Lepisosteus oculatus: one gene and its partner. The protein of the gene in region 2 purifies or fractionates together with the protein of the main gene of each other region. This does not show direct contact. Links are inferred from orthologs where the notes say so. Each region holds a gene or a part of one and is shown on either strand. Other genes may lie near its edges.

Region 1 (10,868 bases), on a different chromosome or scaffold from region 2:
TATACTCCAAGGCAGTTTTTAATCTTTATTTTCACACTTGATTTAGAATGGCCAAATTATGAATTTACATTAAAGAACCGAATCCTTTAGTCTAACGCATGAGTCCTGTTTTATGAATCTTAACTGAATGGTTCTCAAATAATTTGACGTTTTGTTATTCTTGAATAGGTGAATGAAACCCATATCATGTTTAAAAATGTTCTTCACGTGACTGCTGGTAAAGATAAAGTGATCACTAGAAGGGACCTTCAGGTGGTATGGAAATGTGTCTACACCAGAGAATACCTTCGTCACACACACATGGGAGAGGATCTCTTGGACTGGTGAGGAAAAGGCAGTACTTTTGACAATCGTTTGTCTTGACTCTAAGATACAGCAGTGCGTTTTTAGTTACTCTGCAGTCAAGGGGCTCGGGTTCAGTTAAATTATGGCTTATGGCTTGTGTAAAGCCATAAAAAGTCATTCTTAAGTTGTCCGGCTTTTATGTGGAGTGTGGGAAGGATTTTTGGTAGGATAGGACTTTATTTGCTAATGGAATTCTTGCTCCTTTCTTTTCTGGGAAAATCAAGTCTGTAGCTTTTCACTGTGAGTACATTTCTATTCATTTTTCTGTTCCTTTTAAAATTTATCAGGTTAACTTCAAGCAGTTGCATTTCACTTCAAATGTACGCACATGCCCACTGCAACTCCACACTTTACTGTAAATGTAATACTTTTGAAGCTTTTTTTAACTTACATTAAGATCTAATGTTTTTAATTTAGCAATTGTAAGATTAATACTTCTACACAGTTATAAATTTAAAATGCTGTATGCAGTAAACTTGTTTATTGGTTCTGATTTTCCTGCTAAAAAAGTCTAACCTTATAGACGGGTTAGCACAGTTTAATACCTTTTCCCAACATTTGAGATGATCAGTTTTTATAAATGCATATTTTCATATACCACATCAAGCCCAAATGTTTCTTTCCTTTCAAGGCATCAGTCCTTGATCCTAATCCAGTACAACACCAGCCGGATTTTGGAACTCCGTATGACTCTACACGACAATGATTCTTTTAAGTCCAACAACTCGATCCCGATGGAATTCAGTTCGGACACTCACCTCTTTTTTGAGGTGACCCTTCATTCACAGGACACCTTTGCCTTTGACTTTGTTTTGGAGGTGGTCTCCTGTTGGGTAACGGAGACATCCAACCCAAAGGGAACACCGAAGGTATTCTTCTTGAATGAAAGGTGAGCACATACAGTACAGTCCTGCTGTAGAGTGATGTGCCTGATACCACACATGATTCATTGAAGTACTCATTGTTGCATGAGCTAGTGCAAATTTAATAATTTGATATAGGTCTTTGTTTTTAAAACATGTTTTTCCATCGCTGACCTAGGATGTACACTAAATTGAGCTGTGAACATTGTATTTACTGTATGTCAGTCATTTGTACGGCACTGGTTGATTATTGAAACAACTGCCAGACCACGAAATTATTAGTGCCAGTTTTGTGTGCTTTTTAGTTGCTGACCTGTTGCATGTCTGATCTGTTATTCGTATAATAGATAAAGGATCATCGATGGCTAATATTTCCTAGATTTAATTTGGAAGTAGAGGGTTTTTGACAAATGCAACAGCATGTACAGTAGCATTATGGATAACTACAGCTCAGCTTAGGTATTGTCCAGTTTTTTCTAATTGTCCCCATTTAATGTTTTCAAACCTATACATTTAATCTACTGTACTTGGTTTCAAGGCCTCTTATAAACCTGTATTCTGTAAAAGTTTGCCCTTGAGGCTTATTTAGAAATGGCTTCTCTCACCTACATGAAATGCCTCTGTAATTGTAGGACTCTGACAATGGGAGCAATGGTCATGTGGGGTTTCTAGAGTTTTTTCACTTGCGAGATGAGAGTTGACTTCAACCTTCATAAATAAGCTCTTTCACTGGTCTCGAAAATGTTGCGGTGCACCTTAAATGTAAAAGTTTTTTTTAAAAAAACTTGAAAAAATACAGGAACATTGTGTAATACATAGAGGATCTGTAATGTCATATCTATGAGGAATTCCCATTTTTGCACTTTAAGGCCATATATTGTAAATTATATTTTTTTTTCCCCAGTTGTCCTGTTGACGAGACCTTTCGGTGGTATACAGCTAATGGATTACAACAGAAGAGCCGGTTTTCAGTACAGATGTTTACTGTCACTCCAAAGAAACCCATCTATGTGCACTGCTTAACAAAAATATGCACCCAGCAGGAAAAGGAAAACTGCTCAATGGTATTTTTTTTCTTTCCAATAGCACTAAATTACAATAAGTTTTCTTTTTACACCACTGCAGCTTGTGTATAAGTTACCAGAAAATATTAAGAGTATGCCCCCTCCATTTCATTCTTAAAAATCTTTGACAGGTCTGTCCTGCAAGGAGAACAGACAAAAGAAGAAGAGAACTTAAAAACAGATTGCTAACGGCAGTTCTGTCAGCTGGGCCCATCATTGTCGGGGATCATGCCACGATGTCTGAGGCAAAACGATCAGATTGTAAGTAACTGAACCAAAAGAACTTCACATTGCTCGCTTTAGTAATTTTTTTTTTTTTTACCAGTATGGTATTGAAATCTCCAGCACACAGGACCCTCACAAAAAAAAAATTAAAGAATCTAATCTCTCTGTGGCTACTGTAGGTGCAGCTTCTGCTCCAAAAGTTAAATCGACCACTGTTACAGAGAGAATCTTAATTCTTAATTCACCATGGGGCAGTGCAGTGTCTCTGTGGCTATGGATCTGCGCCTGTCGCTGGAAGGTAGCCAGTTCGTATTCCATGGCCGGCAGAGGAATCCTACTCCGTTGGGCCCCTGAGCAAGAGCCTTAACCCCAACTGCTCCAGGGACGCCGTATAAATAGCTGATCTCAGGCTTCTCTCCCTGTCTGTGTCTCATGGAGAGTAAGTTTGGGTAGGCAAAAAGACAAATCCCTAATACAAGAAATTGTTTATGGCCAATAAAGTGATCTCCTAATGTGGTGCTCAACTTGGTTGGTCTGTGCCTGGTTTCTGTTCGTGTGTTCTCAATCAGATTACTAATAGATACTGCCGTCTTTGTGACTAGTGAGAAAACCATTGAAAAATGTAGTCCATTAGATTCACTGATGGGCATCATGGGGTCTGCAGTGTTAAGTACTGAATGTATGTATTCTGGAGGTGCTTGGCAGTCTGAGAAATCTGGAAATATCTAAAAGATGTAATGGGTACCAGTTTTATTTGTAACCACTAGATGTCAATGTTGGTTCATTTGGCATAAGATATTAATAGCGTCAAACCATTCTTTTTTGAGTGCTCAAGCCATAAATTTACTTTGAAATCATTTACACATTTTTATAGCTGATGTTTTTTATATCTGCAATTTAAACTATGCTTCCTGAAGAATGCCTGGAAATTTAGTTTGATGTACTTTAATGTAGGAGATTAAAGGAGGATAAATTCTTTCTTTCTTCAGTGAAACATTTGCTGTTCTCTCCTATCATACTGAAGTCTCTCAAGTGTTCATGGCATTCTGTCATGTTCTTTAACCTGAACCTTCATGTTTTCTCACAGGGCATCAGCTTCTAAATGTGATGACAATCATTGGTGGAACAACAGGCTTCCTGTTTTTGACCTTGCTGGGCATGAATGCAATAAAGTGCATCTTAAAATGCAGTGAAAAACATCAAGAAAGGATTCAATGATAATACTCCTTTCCTTCCTCTTAGTTCTTATAGAACTTTTATAAAATTTGTTTCTGTTCTGAAAAACAAATCCAAAAGTACCTAATGGACTAATTTTGAAGTATAGTGTGGTGCTGGATGTACCTAGTAGAGCTGGTGTGGAATCTGCCAACACTGGAAGACAACTTGTGACTTGTCTTCAGTGTCCAGGATTTGTACTTGTTTTTCCAGGTGTTATACATCTAAAATTGTTACTAATAAACCTACTGAATTCTTGATTATTGCAGATTGGTGTATTTAATTAAAACAGATTTTGACATGTACAAAATATAACATTTTTACACCAGATATTTTTTATACTGCACATTAAACGAGAACAATGCAATTGTCTTTAAACACAATTTCAATGGGCTGACATGCTGTTAGTGTAAACTTCTGTAAACCGTGACGTTCTTGTAAAAGGAAAGCACACCAAAGTCTGGAGAGATTTCCACAAGGAGCCAATGCAAGGAAGCTACAACATGAGCCAATTTATACTGTACATTTTACTCATCCTCAAATCGGGCTGCTTGAGTTTAATATACTGCGACCGATTTAAGACAGCCTTACCAAAGAAAGCAATGGCATTAAGCTTGTAGAAAAGCAGCTCCTCTGTATCAGACTAAAGATTTAACCTTATGATTTACATTTAGTTTTTCGTTCAATTAAAAGTTTGAGTAATTTTAATAATCCTTAGTGATCAATATTTTCAAGTTCAAGTTTGTCATTCCAGCCATATACTGTACAAGTATACAGAGGAGTGAGAACGTTCTCCAGGTCTATGGTACGAATACAGACGAGACAATGCTGACGTAGACATTTTCTGACAGGTTGCATAAAGTGCAATGTGGATAGTGCAATTCACTTTACAGGATTGTGCAAAGAACACATCAGACAGTATGCCTGACATTAGGCAAAAAATAACAAAGTTTCCAGATCTGGAGTAAGTGCAGTAGGTACCAGGGTGTTGAGGAGCCCGACAGCCTGTGGGGAAAAAAGCGGTTGCGGAGTCTGGTGGAGCTGGCCCCTATACTGCGGTGCCTTTTACCAGATGGTAGGAGGGCAAAGAGGTTGCAGGAGGGGTAGGAGGATCATCCACAATACTGGAAGTTTTGTCCTGAATGGACGGAAGGGAGGCTCCAATGATGTTTCCTGCTGTATTGACAGTTCGTTGCAAGGACTTGCGGTCTGTGACCTTACAATTCCCAAACAATGATGGTTTGTCAAGATGCTCTCGATAGTACCTCTATAGAATGTGGATAGTATCATGGAGGGGAAGTTTGCCCTTCTCAGTCGCGGCAGGAAGTGGAGACGTTGTGCTTTTTTGTTGTCATCTGTGATATGCACACCAAGAAACTTAGTACTTCCAGCTGTCTCCACAAGGGAGCCGTTGATGTGTAGTGGGGAGGGATCAGTGCGGGCCCTCCTGAAGTCAGTTATCATCTCTTTTGTCTTATCTACAGTCAGAGACAGATTGTTGTTGAAGCACCAGGCCGCTAGTTGCTCCACCTCCTCTCTTTATGGTGCCTCATCGTTGTTACTAATGAGGCCCACCACTGTCATGTCATCAGCAAACTTGATGATGTAATTTGCATTGTGCTTAGCAGTGCAGTCATGAGTCATCAGTGTGAACAGGAGCAGGCCAAGTACACAGCCCTGGGGGATTATGGTGTTCAGTATGGTGGTACTAGACATGTTGATTCCTATCTGGACTATCTGAGGTCTCTTGGTCAGAAAGTCCAGAATTTAGTTGCAGAGGGAGGTGTTGAGATTCAGCAAGCTCAGTTTTTCTATCAGTTTCTGGGGAATGATTGTGTTGAATGCTGAACTGAAGTCAATGAACAGCATTCTTACATAAGTGTCCCTCTTATCAGGGCAAGGTGAAGGGCAAGGGATACGGTATCAGCGGTAGACCGGTTGGGACGATCTGCAAACTGGAGGGGGTCCAGAGAGGTGGGCAGTCTGGACTTAATGTGGCCCATGACTAGCCTTTTGAAGCACTTCATGATAATTGGTGTGAGTGCCATGGGGCGATAGTCATTGAGATACGACACATTAGTCTTCTTCTGGGCTGGTATAATTATGGTGGTCTTGAACCATACAGGGATGACTGCCTGGCACAGGGAGATACAGTATTAAAAACGTCTGTAAAAACATCAGCTAACTTTTGCTAGTGTCTTCCTCCCATCAACTGCGAACATGCATTAATAGACAAACTATTTCAAGTTAGTATTAAGATTAGTGATTTGTATTTTTTAACTTCACTGGTTAAGGTGTTAATGATCCAAGTCTTAAGGGTGATGGTTGTAGTGTGAATGAAGTACAATATTTTAATTTGTATCATGAGGTCTATAGTTATATGGCAAGGTTTAGAGTAGTTTGTGTAATGTTGTTAGGATCAGAATTGGGCTACAGTCATTTATGAAGGCCCTATATTAGAGCAGAAAAATGCAAACGAAAATCGTGTAAATTGTGATGTTCATTAAATGCAGAATAATGATAAATTTATGTACCTGTTTGGGTGTTGAGTATGTAGATAGAACACCCTAGGAGTGGTTGTGAACCAGTGCTTTTGGAGTCCTGGTTCCCGCAGTCTGACAAGGGCATCTGCAGTAACCATTTGTAGTTTTGTATAAAACGAATATTCCTACTCGTATATTTTCTAAAAACAAATGTTTCGTTTGAGTAATTGTTGTTATTTAGGTTATGAATTTAAATTTTGATTTTATAACAGAAGAAGGTGACCAACTTGATCAGGAGTCTGCAGTCTACAAAAGCTAAGACCTTTATCGACGAGGCAAACATAAACTAAATTTATTTTTCTATGTCTCTTGAGTGAATTCCACCCAAAGCAAAACCCCTCTTTTTGAAGTGCCAAGCATCATTGTCGTTTTAGTCAATTTAGATGTTTGTGATTTGTACGGAAAATGATATAAAGCGTTTATATCCTGAATGTTTCAAATACACCTACAGTGAGTACTTCATTTTATTTGACTTTCTATTATTCCTAAAAACAATATTTCTAATTTCTACAGTTAAAGTGGTTTAAGAGGGATACTTCTATTCAAAAATGTAATTTTAATTTGCTCGGTAAGAAAGTTACAAATGTGTTGCTCCTCACGGATTGTTTACGCAGATGCACAGTTTTTTTTCTGTCTGCCACGTGATTCAGCGGTGAAAGGTTAGTGCAGTCATGGCGTCTTCCACAGAAGGAGCAAGCGTGAGTGAAACGCCGAGCAAGAAGAAATACAAAAACAAACAAAATGAAGGTAATAAACCATAAATTCAGTATAAAACCGGTCATAACTTTAGGAAGCTATACATTTGCAACGTTCCAGTTTGATTGGCAATGCTATTAGTTATCTTAGGACAGTATTGGATATCTGAGAATTCTGTTGTAAATGCTAACTTTCCCATCTGTTTTGAAGTATTTTTTAAAAGTATCTACCAATAATATTGTAGTAACAGTGGTTCATATCGTTGTAGATACGTGGTGTAGAACTAGTACATACAAATCTTTTTTGATGAAACCATTTCTTGATGAAAACGCACCTATACAAAAATAGAAATCAAGATATAACTTCTGTGAAAGTTTGCACTGTATTTAAGAACTAGGTATTCGCTGTACTTATCCATCGTACGCAGCTTAAGACATTGAGAAACATCACAGGTAGGCTTTCAAGGATTTTCGAAAAAACCTGAAGATATACAGTATGTAGACGGAATACGAAAGTCTCTGGAACAGAGGTAAACGTGGAATGTTATTTGGGACATCTGGAACAACATTCAGAATCAGGCAAAAAAAAGTAAACAAGCAGCGTTAAGGGAGGATTGCTAGCTGTTAGAAATAATACAGATGATTTAACTTTAAAAAACAGAGCATTTCTAGTTTTTGTTTCCAGTTTTCAATAGTTGAGTAGCTTCTGAAATTCATAGGGCCTGTTTGTTGTGTTAAAATTGTATCAGCTTAGTAGTAATGTTGCTGTTGTTACTGCAGGTTTTAGTATCTGAATAGTAAATGTCCAGAAGCTTAAGTGTCTTGTTTGTCAACTTCTTGAATTTATGATTTATTTGTTGTTGTTTTTTTGGGGTCTTGAATGAGCAGTTGATGAGTCTGAGCTTCTGACAGTTCCTGAGGGATGGAAGGACATCCCATTTACCAGAGAGGACAATCCGAAGGGTTTGTTGGAGGAAAGCAGTTTTGCCACTCTGTTCCCCAAATATAGAGAAGCTTACTTAAAGGAGTGTTGGCCTCTTGTGCAGAAAGCACTAAACGACTCTGTAAGTTAATTTAAAAAACAATATATTTTAGAATATATCCAGTGCCTATGTTGGCTTAAGGTGCAGTGTCCAACAGATTTTTTAAAAAAATACTAGATGCCTTTCATATTGATCACTGTAACATGACGTGTTTGTTGGAAAGGAGAATATTAGCTTCAGTTCTTAAAAGAGAAATACAGAAATGTTGGTTATGGAGGTAATGACTGCGTAGATGATGGGTCATTATAACATTAAATTAATACAATTTTAATCATTAACATTGGGAACTGAAAATGAAGATCTAAAAATAAATAATAAATAATGCTATTTATTTTTTTCTTCAACACTTTTTTCACCTTTGTTTCCTGCTGTGAAGTCAGTTCCTGGTGTTTGTACCAATGTATGAAGTAATGAAGCTTTTATGTGCTACTGTGCAATATGTACTATAATAAAATAGGTACCATTTGAATTACAGTTTGCAAAAATATGGAACATTTTTATTTGATGACCTTGTGCTGTTTTTATATTTTAATTTTATAGCTGAGTTAAAAATGCTTAATACTGTAGTGTACTTGTATTCTAGAATTGTAGCTGCATCTTTTTTTCTTGTTTTATCATGGGAATTTAAGTGGTACCAGGCACCAGTTACATGTTGTTTTTCCATTTCTGTTTGTGAAAACATGGAATCCAACAGTCTAAATAATTTTATTTGGTGGTAGTACTGTATGTGCATGTAAAAGTTTTTTACTTTGCATATTTTACTTTTATGAGCTACCAAAAAGTATTGGAAAAGATAATGATGATTGTGTGTATTTTAAAGTTCTACAATTGCCTCAGAAAATATCCTTTGCTTTAATGGTACTTTGTTTCTCATGTGTTTTATATTTCTTTTCCTTTCTTCAGTACATCAAAGCAACCCTAGACTTGATTGAGGGTAGTGTGACAGTCAGCACCACAAAAAAGACATTTGATCCATACGCCATTATAAGGGCTAGAGATCTGATAAAACTGCTTGCAAGAAGCGTTCCATTTGATCAGGTATGTATTGTGGTACATTTACGGTATACCACCAATAAACACAAGTATCTATTCTAGAATTACTTTGATATTTTGTAGCCCAAAAGTTAAAGTTTGGGATCTGTCTGAAAAATATTTTCATTCTAGGACTAAAGTGTGAGTTTTGTCTTTAGTCCTAAACATTTCATATACGATAGGTTCACTTGTGGATGAGTGAAAAATATCATAGGTAATGCTAGGTAACTGCTGAAATAGACGTTAAATATGTCTAAGCCCATGTAGGTTCAAGTCTGCCATTTTTCCAAGAGTTGACTGTAAATAGAATGTAGGTTAGATCAAAACTGCGTCCCTTGTAAATGGGGGTATTTGAAAGTACTGTATAAAACCATCTTGAGTCTAATTAATTTGATTTTACTAGTGGTTAAATGATGGGTAAGCCACTAAATTTCAAATTCCACATTTAATTGACAGCTGTTTTCCTGATCTGTCCACCTAATGATTGTTTGCTATAGGCTGTGCGAATTCTTCAGGATGATGTGGCCTGCGACATCATCAAAATTGGGACTTTAGTCAGAAACAGAGAAATATATGTGAAGAGGAGAGAGAGACTGATAGGACCAAAAGGATCAACTCTTAAGGTAAGCATCACAAGGTGTCATAAAGAATCCATGCGTTGTGGTTTTAGCTACATTTTTGTATTTCACTCGCTGGCACTGTTATTAAATAAACAGTCCTGTAAAGCCCAGTACTCAGGCCACTGTTTCCCTCGTTGTTCTTTGATGCCTTATTTTAGTTGGAGAAAAGTATGACTTTTACTTTTTTTTAAAAGACCAAGAATTAAACATCAAAGGCCAGTGATGTATTTTTGGAGAGCTTATCTAGATTGTCCCTGTGTGCTTGTGTGGGTGTGCACTGCAGGGTTCTGGTCTCCCATCCAGGATGCCCTGCCTTGTGTCCTATGCTCCCATGATAGGCTGATAAGTTTTCATTTTGTTTCTGTAAAAACTTAACTCTTTATAATTTTCTTCTTCCTTTCTGTAATATCAGACATTGTGTAGTTTTGATGACAGCATTTCAGAAGTTGGTGCTTGAATTACCTTCATCAGCATATATTAAATCATTCTGCATGTTTTTAATTACAGTTTGTTTGTAACATCATAAAATGGAATATAGTGTGGTCTTATGCTGTTTTTGTGTACATCACAAAACTTTTATCTCAAACAGGATGAAGCTGGTCCCTGTTGCCTATTTCAGTTCTAAACTGCCCAAAAGCTATAAAATTTAATATGGGGAGAGTCTTTAGTTTTTCTGTGATTTAAGTGTGTTAGACTTTCCAGTGGTAAATTTCAAGTTTCCTTTATTTTTCATGACAGCATATTGTATGTATTGTCTGACTGTAGGTTTTGGAAGCATCTTATAGATTGTTTTGTGGTTATTTTTAATTTTGTTCTCTTGTCTTGGAGAGATCCATAGCATCACAAGAGATTTTAAATATATTTAAAATGTATACAGTCCAATAAAGTTTGCCAGCATTGGACTGTAATATAAATAAAAATATAAGGAATTTGTGGGCAAGACAACTGTTCACCCTAAAACAATCTCAACATAGAGTACACCTATTAGTATTGAAACTCAGCAGGACATAGCAGTTGTATCTTGTACCTCTGTTAGTGCACATGGTCTATTGCACTGCACATCTTTGTAGCCCACAGGTTCCGGTCTTAGTGTGTCAATGCAGTGACCAGTCCAAGAAGGTGTTCGGTCTTGTTGTCACACATGAAGAAATGATTGCATATTTAGATGATTGCATATGAGAAGCTGAGTGACCAGGGAGCTGATTTGTATTTGCATTTATTCC
Region 2 (10,903 bases):
CTGACCTTCTTGGACCACAGATCGGACCCTGTGCTCTCTATGAACGGGGAGTGGGACTGCAAGCTGCCCTGTCTCAATCTCTCGATGGTGCAAACCGGCGTCACTGGAAAGATCCCACCACTCCTGGCTCCCTCCCCTTCAGCCCTTTCCCAGACTGGGAGCACAAGCTTCCACCTCGGACACTGAAGTGACCTTTCGGGGACCGCAGGGCTCCAGGTCAAAGGAGGAGGAGGTCCAGAAGCTTGGCTAGGTGTTGGCATTACCGGGAAGCGTTGAGAGAAGATGACACACCCTGACTCCTGGCAACTATGCAACACATCTGGGCTCAGTTTCTTCAGGAGGAGGACAGGAGTTCGACCCAAAGTGCTCTTTCCCGAGCGGAACCCAGGATCTGACTGGCTCTCACTCCTGCGACAGGGCTCATGACGGGAGTTCTCTTTCCTTTTACTTACTGTTTTCTGGGCAGCAAACTCTTCTCGCTCTTCAAACGAGCTGGTCTGGTCGGGATCATCACATCTGCTGCTTTCCTGAAATACCAGAAACGTTAACTCATTAAAACATAAACAAATCGCAGACAGATTTATGTGCATCCTAATACTTTATTTGATTACACTGTTAGAAATTAGTGAAATAAACTGCGTCGCCAATGCCCTCAACTTTACAAAAAATCTAAACTCATGTTTAGAGGGAACATAAAGCACCTGTGAAAACAAAAGCACTACGTACTGTACATAATTTGCAACAGGCTGCTGGAAGTTTTAATTGAATCTACAGCTAAACAAAACTAGTGAATGAGAGTGGCACACGTGCTTGTGATAGTGTCAGGGTAGAGGTATACAGGATTAATAGATCAGACCCTGAATACAGCATAGTGTATTTCCCCTCTGTAGTCTGAAGACTACAATTCCCAGAAGGTGCTGGGGCTCAGAACAGAGTTTATGATTAGAAACACGTTACCTACTAGTAATTCTAGTCGTACTTAAAGGGAAGGGCTGCACTACGAGAGCGAGACTGCGAGAAGTCTTTGCATGAGTACAGACCTACGTATTGGACAAAACCCTCGAGAAAAGGACGTTTCTGTATGGAATTTCCCACCACCCCCCCACACACACACACACATCCAGCAGCATGAAGGAAATCCCTGAGCTTTGGCTTCTCCCCACGCGTCACACTTCCATTCAGCATGCACGGGACAGCTCTTAGAATAAACACATGAAGTACATGTAGACTCTCCACTATTGCCCTCCTCACGGCTTCGTCCTCCTCCTTGTCCCGCTGCTTGGTCCGCCTGGCTTCCTGTTCGCTCATTCGCATGGCCAGGCTCACCATTTCGTCTTCTGTCATCTCTGAAGAACAAGAGCATCTCCATGACTCAAGGGACAGGCCTGTCTCCCCGTTAGGTTGCTAAGCGGCCTAGTACAGGGTTTGGGTAGGAGGAGGGAGGGACAAAGTACGACTCTCAAGGTCATTTTCCATGTCCCACAGAAAGAAAGGCCCCCCTCGCTAACTTTCCTCTTTTGGTGGCACGACTAATTTTTATTGTTTAAAGTACACTGTACCTCCCCTTAGAAGGCAATTAACAATCATAATATCTTCACCGTTAAGAAGTCCGAAACTGTTAATTAATCATGGATATAGTATCGTATTTTCTACATTACTAACCATTACCGTGCCTTCTGTCACAAAAAAATATCATTGAGATGCCTTGTCCAGCAACTCTCCATGAGACACAGACAGGGAGAGAAGCTGGGGGTCAGAGCGCAGGGTCAGTCATTTATAAAGCGCCCCTGGAGCAGTTGGGGTTAAGGGCCTTGCTCAGGGGCCCAACGGAGTAGGATTCCTCTGCCGGCTGCGGGAAACAAACCTGCACAAATCTCAATTGTTAAGGCAACCTTTCAGAATGAAAACAATTAAACAGTTCAAATTAAGGTAAGTTATGGGTCCAACCTACAGGTTCAGGACTGAGAGCACCTGACCTAGACAAAATGACTAAACATCACCCAACACCTTCTGCACACAAGGGGGTCGTGCAGAAGCCTGTCATACGTACATGAAATGCACTGGAGCCCGTGGGGAAGAGCACTACTCCTGCTTTAGGAGGCACTTAATGTGACAGAATAATAATAATAACAATAATAACAACAACAACAACAACAACAACTATTTATAGAGCACATTTCATACAAATAGCAGATCAAAGTGCTTTACAAACCAAGCGTAAAAATAAAATCTTAAAAATAAGAGATATACTTTCAGTTGTAAAGGAAAACAGTAATACAGTAAAGCAACATTAATGTCAATTTATGCTTGAAAATTACATAAATAAAAATTAGGAAAGTCATAATAAAATAAGACCAATAAAAGATAAATAGAAAAGAAAGATAAATAGAAAGAACACTTAATAATTAAAAACCTACCTCGAGCCTGTCCGCTCTGCTGTCGTGCCTGCAGCCTGTCTTCCCTTGACAGGAGAACGTCATGCTGTTTCTGTAGGTAAGGACACAAAGGTGCAGCACATTTCATCACCAAAGCTGCTGTTTCAAACTACAAGAGATCACTGCATCGTAAACATACGAAAAGTGGCAAACGAAAGGAGGCCATCAGGTCCACTTGGCTTGTTCGATGTTTTAATCGATGACTGAATTTAAAATCTTTATCGGGCAATTTGTTGTACACCAGAATTTTGACCTCAACTAACCGACTGTTCCAGACACTCCTTGTATATAAAGGTGCATTTCCCATCCGCCGACCTGAATCAATTTTAGGACAGAGAAAAAGCTTCCAGTTGTGACACCACATTCTTATTTCACTTCCGATCCTGATATAGTCCTCTGCTTTTACTTATTTGAACTTCAGATACTTGATCCAAACCTCCTCTTAATCTCCTTTGCTCTAGAACAGGGGTGGTTAACTAAATTCCTGGAGGATGCAATGTCTTCTGCTTTATTCTTCTTCTCCATCAGAAGCTCACACCCCTGTTCTAGACTCAAGAGATCTACAGTAGTTCCTTTAACCTGTCCATATGTAACAGTCCCAGAAATCAGGATTGGTAAGGGCTGATCTTCTTTGGAACTTATCTAAGAGAAGAATGCACTTTTAGTGGCATGGGGCGGAAAACCCTATACAAGTCGAAAACAGAATGGGGTAAAAAACTAAATAAAGGCATGCAGAGCTCCTATGCGTTTCAGTTCCCGACAACACTTAAAAAATTGCGCCCAGAGCGGACAGCCGGAACTCAACCCGTAGACTCGCTCATCTCGCTCGATTCCTCAGTATCCTCGCCCGAACATGCGTGGGTATAGCCTAGTCACCTGGGTCTTTGGTATGCCCCTTTAGACTTTTTCCTCCCCCCAATAAGAAGGGCAATACTGAATAAAAAAAATAAACTGAAGACGTCTCAAAGCCGCGTCTGCTAGCTATGATGAAACACTTTGAAGGACAAGGACCAGCACAAACCTCGCTTTCTGCGTCAGACACAACAACAAACTCGCCATTGTTTTCAGCGAGATGTCTCTTCTTGGGCACTTGGTCCGCTTCCCTCGCACGAATTCGCCTTTTCTGCGGCATACCGTCAGCATACTACATACAACCCTGGCTTTTACAGTATGGAAACAATAGCCGAATAGGCTGGAATAACGATCTGTGCGGTTCCCACTGAGAGATGAAAACCTCAGTATGGCTGCTCAGCCTTGGTTGCTTGGCGCACTGGTGGGTGCCACTTATTAGTCAGCTCGCAAAATACGAATTATTGCAGTTGCACTGACAGCAGACCTCTTACTGTAAGACGACTCGCAAAGGTCGCCATATTTCCCTCGCTCACGTGATCTCCCAGCCGCAAAGAATGCTGGGTGCATTCTCGTTTGCAACTGTTCAGTAATGCAAACCAAGAGCAGGTGTTAATGTTTACGCTTAAGTAATTTTGGCATGCATAAATATCAACACATTGTATTGATTCACTCAACATATTGAATTAGTTGTTTTGGAGCTCGTTATTCCAGTCTGTAAAAACTCGCTGAAAATCTGAAAGCTATCAAAACAAAATTCAGAACATGATTTCTAAGAATGGTACTAAGCGCTCTCGTTTGCTTTTGTTGTATTTTAAGAAACATTTCTCCGGTTTATGAATACATTGACCGAATATTAACTTGTGATGTGAGGAAATCTAGAACACAACAATGTTTTATTGCTAATTTATTAATATTGAAATTTGGGAGAGTAATCTTATTTGCAATCACAAGGGATAAATCTCATATGTCTTGGGCTTTAAAGGATATGGCGTCTCCAACAAAGATAATCTTCGCCACGAATTACTCCATTTGATGGTTTGTCCATACAAAAGACATTCTTTTTGCTCTTTCGACTTTATTTTGAATACAGGAGTGAGACAGGATACACACTGGGCAAACACACAAACACTCTCAGCAGGGCCAGTTTTACAGAAGTCAGGTGTCCTACCGACTTTAACGGAAGAACTTGGTGGGACACAGACTGCACCACCAGACACGGGAGAGAACTGGGACACCGGGGGGGAGTCCACCATCGTCTTCCTCCCCTCCTACCCTAGAGTGGACTTGGGGAAAATAAGGAACAGCAGGGACAGAAGAGGTAGCTGAAACCTGTAACCCCTGAAAGGCTGCAGAGAGCTCTTCGCTGTGGTGCAGTGAGGCACACCGGGACATCGCTGCTAATCTGGGACACTGGGTTTTGGGTAACCGGCGTCCACGAGGGTTTGTGTGTTCTGTGAGGGTGTGTGGCCCTTGGGGATCCATTTATCATGTGTGTTCTTATGATCAGATAGAAGTTACCACTCTTGACTGTAGGTGTAAGCAGAATAAATACTACGATTATGTTTAAAACAAGTGTGTCTTTGAGCTGTGGGTGGAAACCACAAACAAACTCCATGCAGGTAGCAGTGTCTAAAAAAAATGCGGTTTGGGGAAGCAGCTCCTCATGAACTTTTACCGCAGCACAACAGAACGTGTCCTCACTAGGGGCATCACCGTGCAGTACGGCACTACTACCATGCGTGACAGAGACGCACTACAAAGGGTTGTGGCAACGGCCCAGAGGATTATAGGATGTGATGGGCCATCAATCGGTGAGATCCACACCGCCCGCTGTCGCTGTAAAGCCTGTCCGTCATACAGGATCCCAGCCATAAGCTGGTCTCCCCCCGCGGTACCGCACTGCAAAAGAACTGACCCTTAGACTCAAGAACAGCTTCAACCCTGCTGCAGCGAGCATCATGAACCGCTAACTGTGCATTGTCTCAGAGGATAGGGCACCCCTGCCCTCTGCACTCCTGTCTTGAACTACCATGTATTTGTGTTCACTACCGCCTATTTCTTGTTCTCTACTGTGTATTTATTGTGCTGGTCCGTTTGTTGACTGTACATACCATCACTGTTTGTTACGTACTGTCTACACTGTGTGGTGCTGTACTGTACCCGTCCCGAGAGATCAGTGTGAATAAGAATCCCACTGTTCATGTACATACAGTATGGCAATAAACTCCCCTGCTCTATTCACCCCAGGAATTGAACCCAGTGTCCCATCGCCGCAAACCAACAATACTAACCCCTGTGCCACACCCGAGCCACCGTTAACTATAAATAAAAACCCATACATGATTTCTTTAGAAAAGCACCAATTTAAAAGGAAACACATATTCGTTCATGTGAACGTTTCATAATTCAGTTTAATGCTACAGAAAAGAGTGGAACCAAAATGGGAAATATCAGGTGAGCCTGGCAGATATATTTTGCCCGCTTCATTTTGTGACCGCTGTGTTGTTACCCCCCCAAAAAAACCAAACTATCACGGCTGATATGAAAGACACCGTCTTCTGTAGGACACGGAAGTTTAATTGACATAAAACACGTAAGAATACTGGACAGGCTCACCTGAAGCAGCCTGGACTGGCCAGCTCGAAGGCGCTCAGTACGCCTGGCCAGTACTGGGAGGGGGGTCGCCGAGGAAGAACCAGGTCTGGGTTATAAGCTTTATCCCCCCGTCTGAGGGGGGCTCCTCGCCTCAGAGGTGTCATCCTTAGGACGGGGTGTTAAAATTAAGATCCCCAACTACGTCCTTCGGCTGAACTCATTTCTCATTCCTCCACCACACCATACCAGGCGGGGCTGACTTCAGTAAGGGCTGGAACTGGGTTCCCCCCTTTCTAGAAAGAGTTCTAGGATCTTTTGGGATTAAAAGTACTATGTAAATGGAAGGCATTTTACCCGGGTGCAGTTAACCTGAAGAAAACCAAGCATGTTTATCGGGATGTTTTGTTCAGAATAGTGCACTACACCGGTTTTCTCGTCTTTATTAATTCTTTCATACTTCTTTTCTTAAGAGGAGCTCAAAAAAGTCCCTCGACAATGTATGTAATGATGGATAAGTTTATTACTGTTTGCAAGAGGTCAAAACGCAGTACAGAAGTCAGAACGCACTGGGGGGGGTGAGTTCCGTGCGATTCAAAATATCAAGACGTTATTTGAACAGACCTGTTACACTTAAGGGGATATAAAGAGTCCCCCCCCCACATTTAAACCGGTAGCACACAGCGCCCCCCACCGACCGGAGAGCAGAGACCTCAGGCTGCAGCTCGGCGGCTCTGGGAAACATGGCGGACGGAGAGCGGAACGGGGATTTACCCGCTGTGCCGTCGGGGCTGGAGGAGGGTAAGCGCCTTCACCCGAGGACCCGGAGTCGAGCGGAGTGTCGCAGATATCGGGGGGACTTGTGCGAAGCTGGTTTCCCCTCTAGAGGCGGAGGAGTCGGACACAAGCGGGGAGCTCAGCGGCTGACTGCCTTGGAAATAAGTGCTCCGAGATGGAAGCTGTAAAAAATAAATAAATGCATCATTCGAGGTCGAGGAAGCGAGGCAGAAAACAGTTAATGCTGTCCGCGGAGAGGGTATATAAAGTGTGCACGGAAATTCCCGATCAAATGCCTTCTGCTACCTCCGCAGTCTCGGCGAGATGTTTTACGTTACTGTCAACATGGAAACCGAGCTGCGGGTCTTCACTCTTAAAATGCCTCAGTGGACGCCAATAACATCGCTCCCGGTGAATGAAAACTTTTTTTCGGAGTAAATGCCCTTCCGCCTAGATACTATATGCTCAGCCAGGGCCATTCCGGGAAGCTGCTACGCTCTCCAGAACCCTGTTTTTATCCAGACAGGTTTATAGGTCACCTTCTTAACAAAGGTTGGCTGCACCTCTGTGTTATTAGCGTATTAACTCTAATAAAGGATGAAGGATGAAGAAAGAGATCTTAGATTTGGGTCCCAGATCAATGTCTAAAGTACTCCATTTAACTAATCACCCACTTAACTGATCACAATGAAATCATATCCTTTCTTCACATTTCGGGGTGACCTACATTGGGGATGTCCTGGTCTGTGGCTTGAGACCCCCTGTTCTAGAGATCTAATTAAATATTTCCCATGTTGCAAAAAGGAGGTTTGTGTCATTCCGAAGGTCAAGAGTAGAAATCGTTTTGCTAGATGGGGGTGTTCAGTCTTTGTGACCAAAGTCCTTCCTCTGGCTAATTCTTAATTCATTAATTGACCTTCAGCATCTGGACTAATTAAGCAGTTAAGGGTCCTTTCAGTGCTGCACCTACTGGAAGTTCAAAAGTGCTGTAATGACCTGGAATCAGGGGTCAAGGCTGAGATCCCTGTGCTAGCGACAGATTTTCACTCCTAAATACACCTGAATCTTGCAGCTGTTTGTTGGCAGAAAAAGTCACTCTGCATTAGTTCAGTCCAGTTTTGTTCAGTTCAGTTTATTTGTCATATGCACAAGTGCAATGAAATGCTTATTTGCACCTGTTCTCCAATACAAAGACATTAAAGGAATCGCCAAAAACATAAACACAGAACAGCAGCAGCAGCAACAAGTTAAATAACATACAGCTTAAAAAAAAAAGATGGACAAGCAAGTTTGAGGAAAAAAAACATCAGTGTGCTGATTACTGAGCTCTGCCTAACTCTCGGTAGATAGTCCAGCTACAGTACATTCTAATGTCAGAAATATCAAGTATTGGCACTGCCTGAACTGTGCCTGGATTAATGACATTGCAGAGATTTCTGCATTTGGGATCCAGCTGCTTGTAAGTGCTTTCAGTGGTTTTTTTCTGCTTTATCATGTAATCGACATATTGTGTTGATTTTATTGAACCGTACATCACCCGGGATAAGAGCACCTGCTAGGAAGATAATGTGTGTTGACGGGAATGTATAGTTTCCAGTGTACATTGGATAAAGCTAACTTTTGCTTCAGTGCATGCCCCAGAACTAGTGTTAATAGTGCCCCGTTTGTGTTCTTCAACAGTGAACAAGATGATCAGCGAACACAGTCACCTCTTCTCTGACACGCAGTGCAAAGTGTGCAGCGCCCTTCTCATCTCCGAATCACAAAAGCTTGCCCATTACCAGGTGGGTAGATTACTTGGCTGTTGTTTTCTGTGTTGTGTCTCTGCGCTGCACACTTTGTCCGGACGGCCCCCTCTGGCATGTGGGAGAGCGCAGCCTTGAGACAGACTTAATGCAATACCAGTGTATTTGTGTAGATTGCCATCACATCCTAGCATGCTACATAAACAACACGTAAGCAGGCGGTAAGCTGTACTGTACAAAACACTAACCACGAAGTGGAGCAACTACGGCTGCTGAGGAGGGCAGCTGGTATTTATATGAAGGATATGGATATCTCAACATTTGCAAGGGTTCAGTGTAGAGAACCATTGCAAAGAGCCAAGCCCACCTCTGAACGTTCGCATATTTAAGTCAATTACCATAATGAACAGAAACAACAGTCCAAATTTCAAACGTACAGTAATTAGCTAAAATAAATAACCTGAATCCCTCCTCTGCGTCTGGCCTGCAAATGATCTCTGCCTTCCCAGTTCCATGATTAGCACATCGCACTGTAATGAAAAGGGCAGTAAAACTGTCAGTGGGCCTGTAAAGTCGTCTCCAGACGGTCGTTCCACACACTGCTGACACAGAACCAGGAGCGTTCATTACAGTTTAAAAACCAGGCCACCCTGAGATGTGGATGCTGGATAGGGGGTACTTGGGCAGGGGGCAGAGAGAAGATGGAAAAAAATTGCACAAGTGGATTAAGAAGACTGGTGCAGAAATTTAGATGTCGATCTGGATCTGATGGCAGTTGCAGCACTATATATTATATTATCCCTCTCCTCTTGCAGTCATGCGCTTATTGACAAGTGTTACAGTGCTCTCTCTGATAAAAGGGTGTTCAATACAAAATGTGAGGCAGCACTGTGCTTATTAAATACTCCCGCTGAGCAATGCAGTACATGGTCTAGTATATGGATCATCTCTGCCTCTTTGGTTCTGTAGACCATCTGTGTGGCATTATCAACCGCTCTGTGCATAGCCTTCATCCAGGGACTGGACCAGTGTAAAGGTTCCCAGCTCTGGGAGACATTCAGATCAGGAATTCAGTGCTGTTTTATTCTTCATTCTGGATTGCTGCTGATGTTTAATAGTTAAATGTTGTTGTTTTTTTTCACTTTTACAGAGTAAAAAACATGCAAATAAAGTACGCCGATACATGAGTATCCACCAGGATGAGGAACCATCGTTGAAAAGGTTCAAAGGCCACTCATCTGACAACGTAAGCATGAAGCAGTGTTTCTTTGAAGAGCAGGATAACAACAATAAGTTCATGAGCCCTGATCAGGGGAGCAGGCAGGGGTGGTTTAAAATGGCACATTAAAGTCAAGCTGAATAGTAAGCACCAAAACAGTGGTTCAATCTTAAGCAAATTTTAACCTCACTGAAATAAAATAGTGTCATTGGGGTTTACTTATTTTTGTTGGCCTCCGGTGTTGGAGTACCTCCTGTTTGTGTAATGTGGTGAGTCTCTTGTCCTTGCTGCCATTGTAAATCAGTTAGTTATATGAGTAATTCTGTTACATAACGGATAGCAAGTGAGTTTCTGAATGTTTTTGTTCCAAATGAGTACTCAGATGAACTTTCTTTTTTGCTTCGGAGAGAACGTGAGTGTTTAATCTGTTCCCCATTTCATAACAAGACTGCTCATTTGGCAATACAAGAAGAAATTGTGAGAAGTCTCCTTGCACTAGAGCTGGGAACGCACTGCAGTCATGTGTTTTGCAAGTAAAAATGTTTTCTATGAACAAATTAATCCCCTGGTCCATCCCCTGCACATTTCTACTCAAGGCACCCAGAAATGAAGTAAACGACTACAGTGGAGCCCCCACGAAACAGGGCCGTGGCCGTGTTAGTAGCAGCAGTGCCAGACTCCTCTGTCCCCTGTTGGCAGCGTGGAGCACGGCGAGTCCAGGCTGAGGATCCAGGGACAGCAGGAGAGGCGCCCAATGAAGCGTCAACATTAAAGAAGCAGCCAGGCCAGCTGGCCAGATCGTTTCTACAACCTGGGCTTTCAGCGGGTGGGAGTCATCAACCAACAGGAGCATGAGCGATCTTCCCTGTTCAAGTTAAGGAACGGGGAAGAGACTTTTCCTCAGACAGGCTGCTTTCATCCCATCTTCTCACAGGCTGGGACTTAGGTCAGGGGAGGCTCCTTCGCTCCATTCATTGACTTTAGTGTTTCCTGTTCCTTCCTCAGGCAGGCAGCAACGGGGTGGTGGATCGCAACAAGGCGTGCTCCATCTGCAACATGACGTTCTCGTCGCCCGTCATGGCCGAGTCCCACTACCAGGGCAAGGTGCACGCCAAAACCCTGAAGCTGAAGACTCAGGGCTTCCAGGCTGCAGGTAAGACAGCCAGCTCCTGTTGTCTGCCGCCGACAGCCTGAGCTGGTGGGGCGGCCTTGTCTTGTCCCGGAGGGGTCCTGACTCTCCATGGTCATTAGAAATCCCCGGGCGCATCTCGGAAAGAGCAGGG

What was found.
Region 1: the proteins of znf346 (region 2) and krr1 purify together in Homo sapiens (affinity purification with mass spectrometry; 3 studies listed by BioGRID and IntAct, with this or other methods). This does not show direct contact. The link is inferred for Lepisosteus oculatus from reciprocal best matches to the Homo sapiens genes ZNF346 and KRR1.

The regions. Positions count from the first base shown.
Region 1 is NC_090702.1:21,454,264-21,465,131, forward strand, and holds the start of krr1 (KRR1 small subunit processome component homolog), read left to right. Parts: upstream 1-6,894; 5' UTR 6,895-6,926; coding exon 6,927-7,002; intron 7,003-7,838; coding exon 7,839-8,014; intron 8,015-8,896; coding exon 8,897-9,031; intron 9,032-9,522; coding exon 9,523-9,648; intron 9,649-10,868. Other genes in the region: uncharacterized protein, read left to right, coding at 169-323, 977-1,234, 2,113-2,272, 2,404-2,533, 3,585-3,715. UniProt on the Homo sapiens protein: Part of the small subunit (SSU) processome, first precursor of the small eukaryotic ribosomal subunit.
Region 2 is NC_090706.1:39,912,141-39,923,043, reverse strand, and holds the start of znf346 (zinc finger protein 346), read left to right. Parts: upstream 1-6,601; 5' UTR 6,602-6,622; coding exon 6,623-6,680; intron 6,681-6,982; exon of another isoform or gene 6,983-7,067; intron 7,068-8,336; coding exon 8,337-8,440; intron 8,441-9,551; coding exon 9,552-9,647; intron 9,648-10,625; coding exon 10,626-10,773; intron 10,774-10,903. Other genes in the region: uimc1 (BRCA1-A complex subunit RAP80), read right to left, coding at 453-527, 1,222-1,346, 2,418-2,487, 3,457-3,567.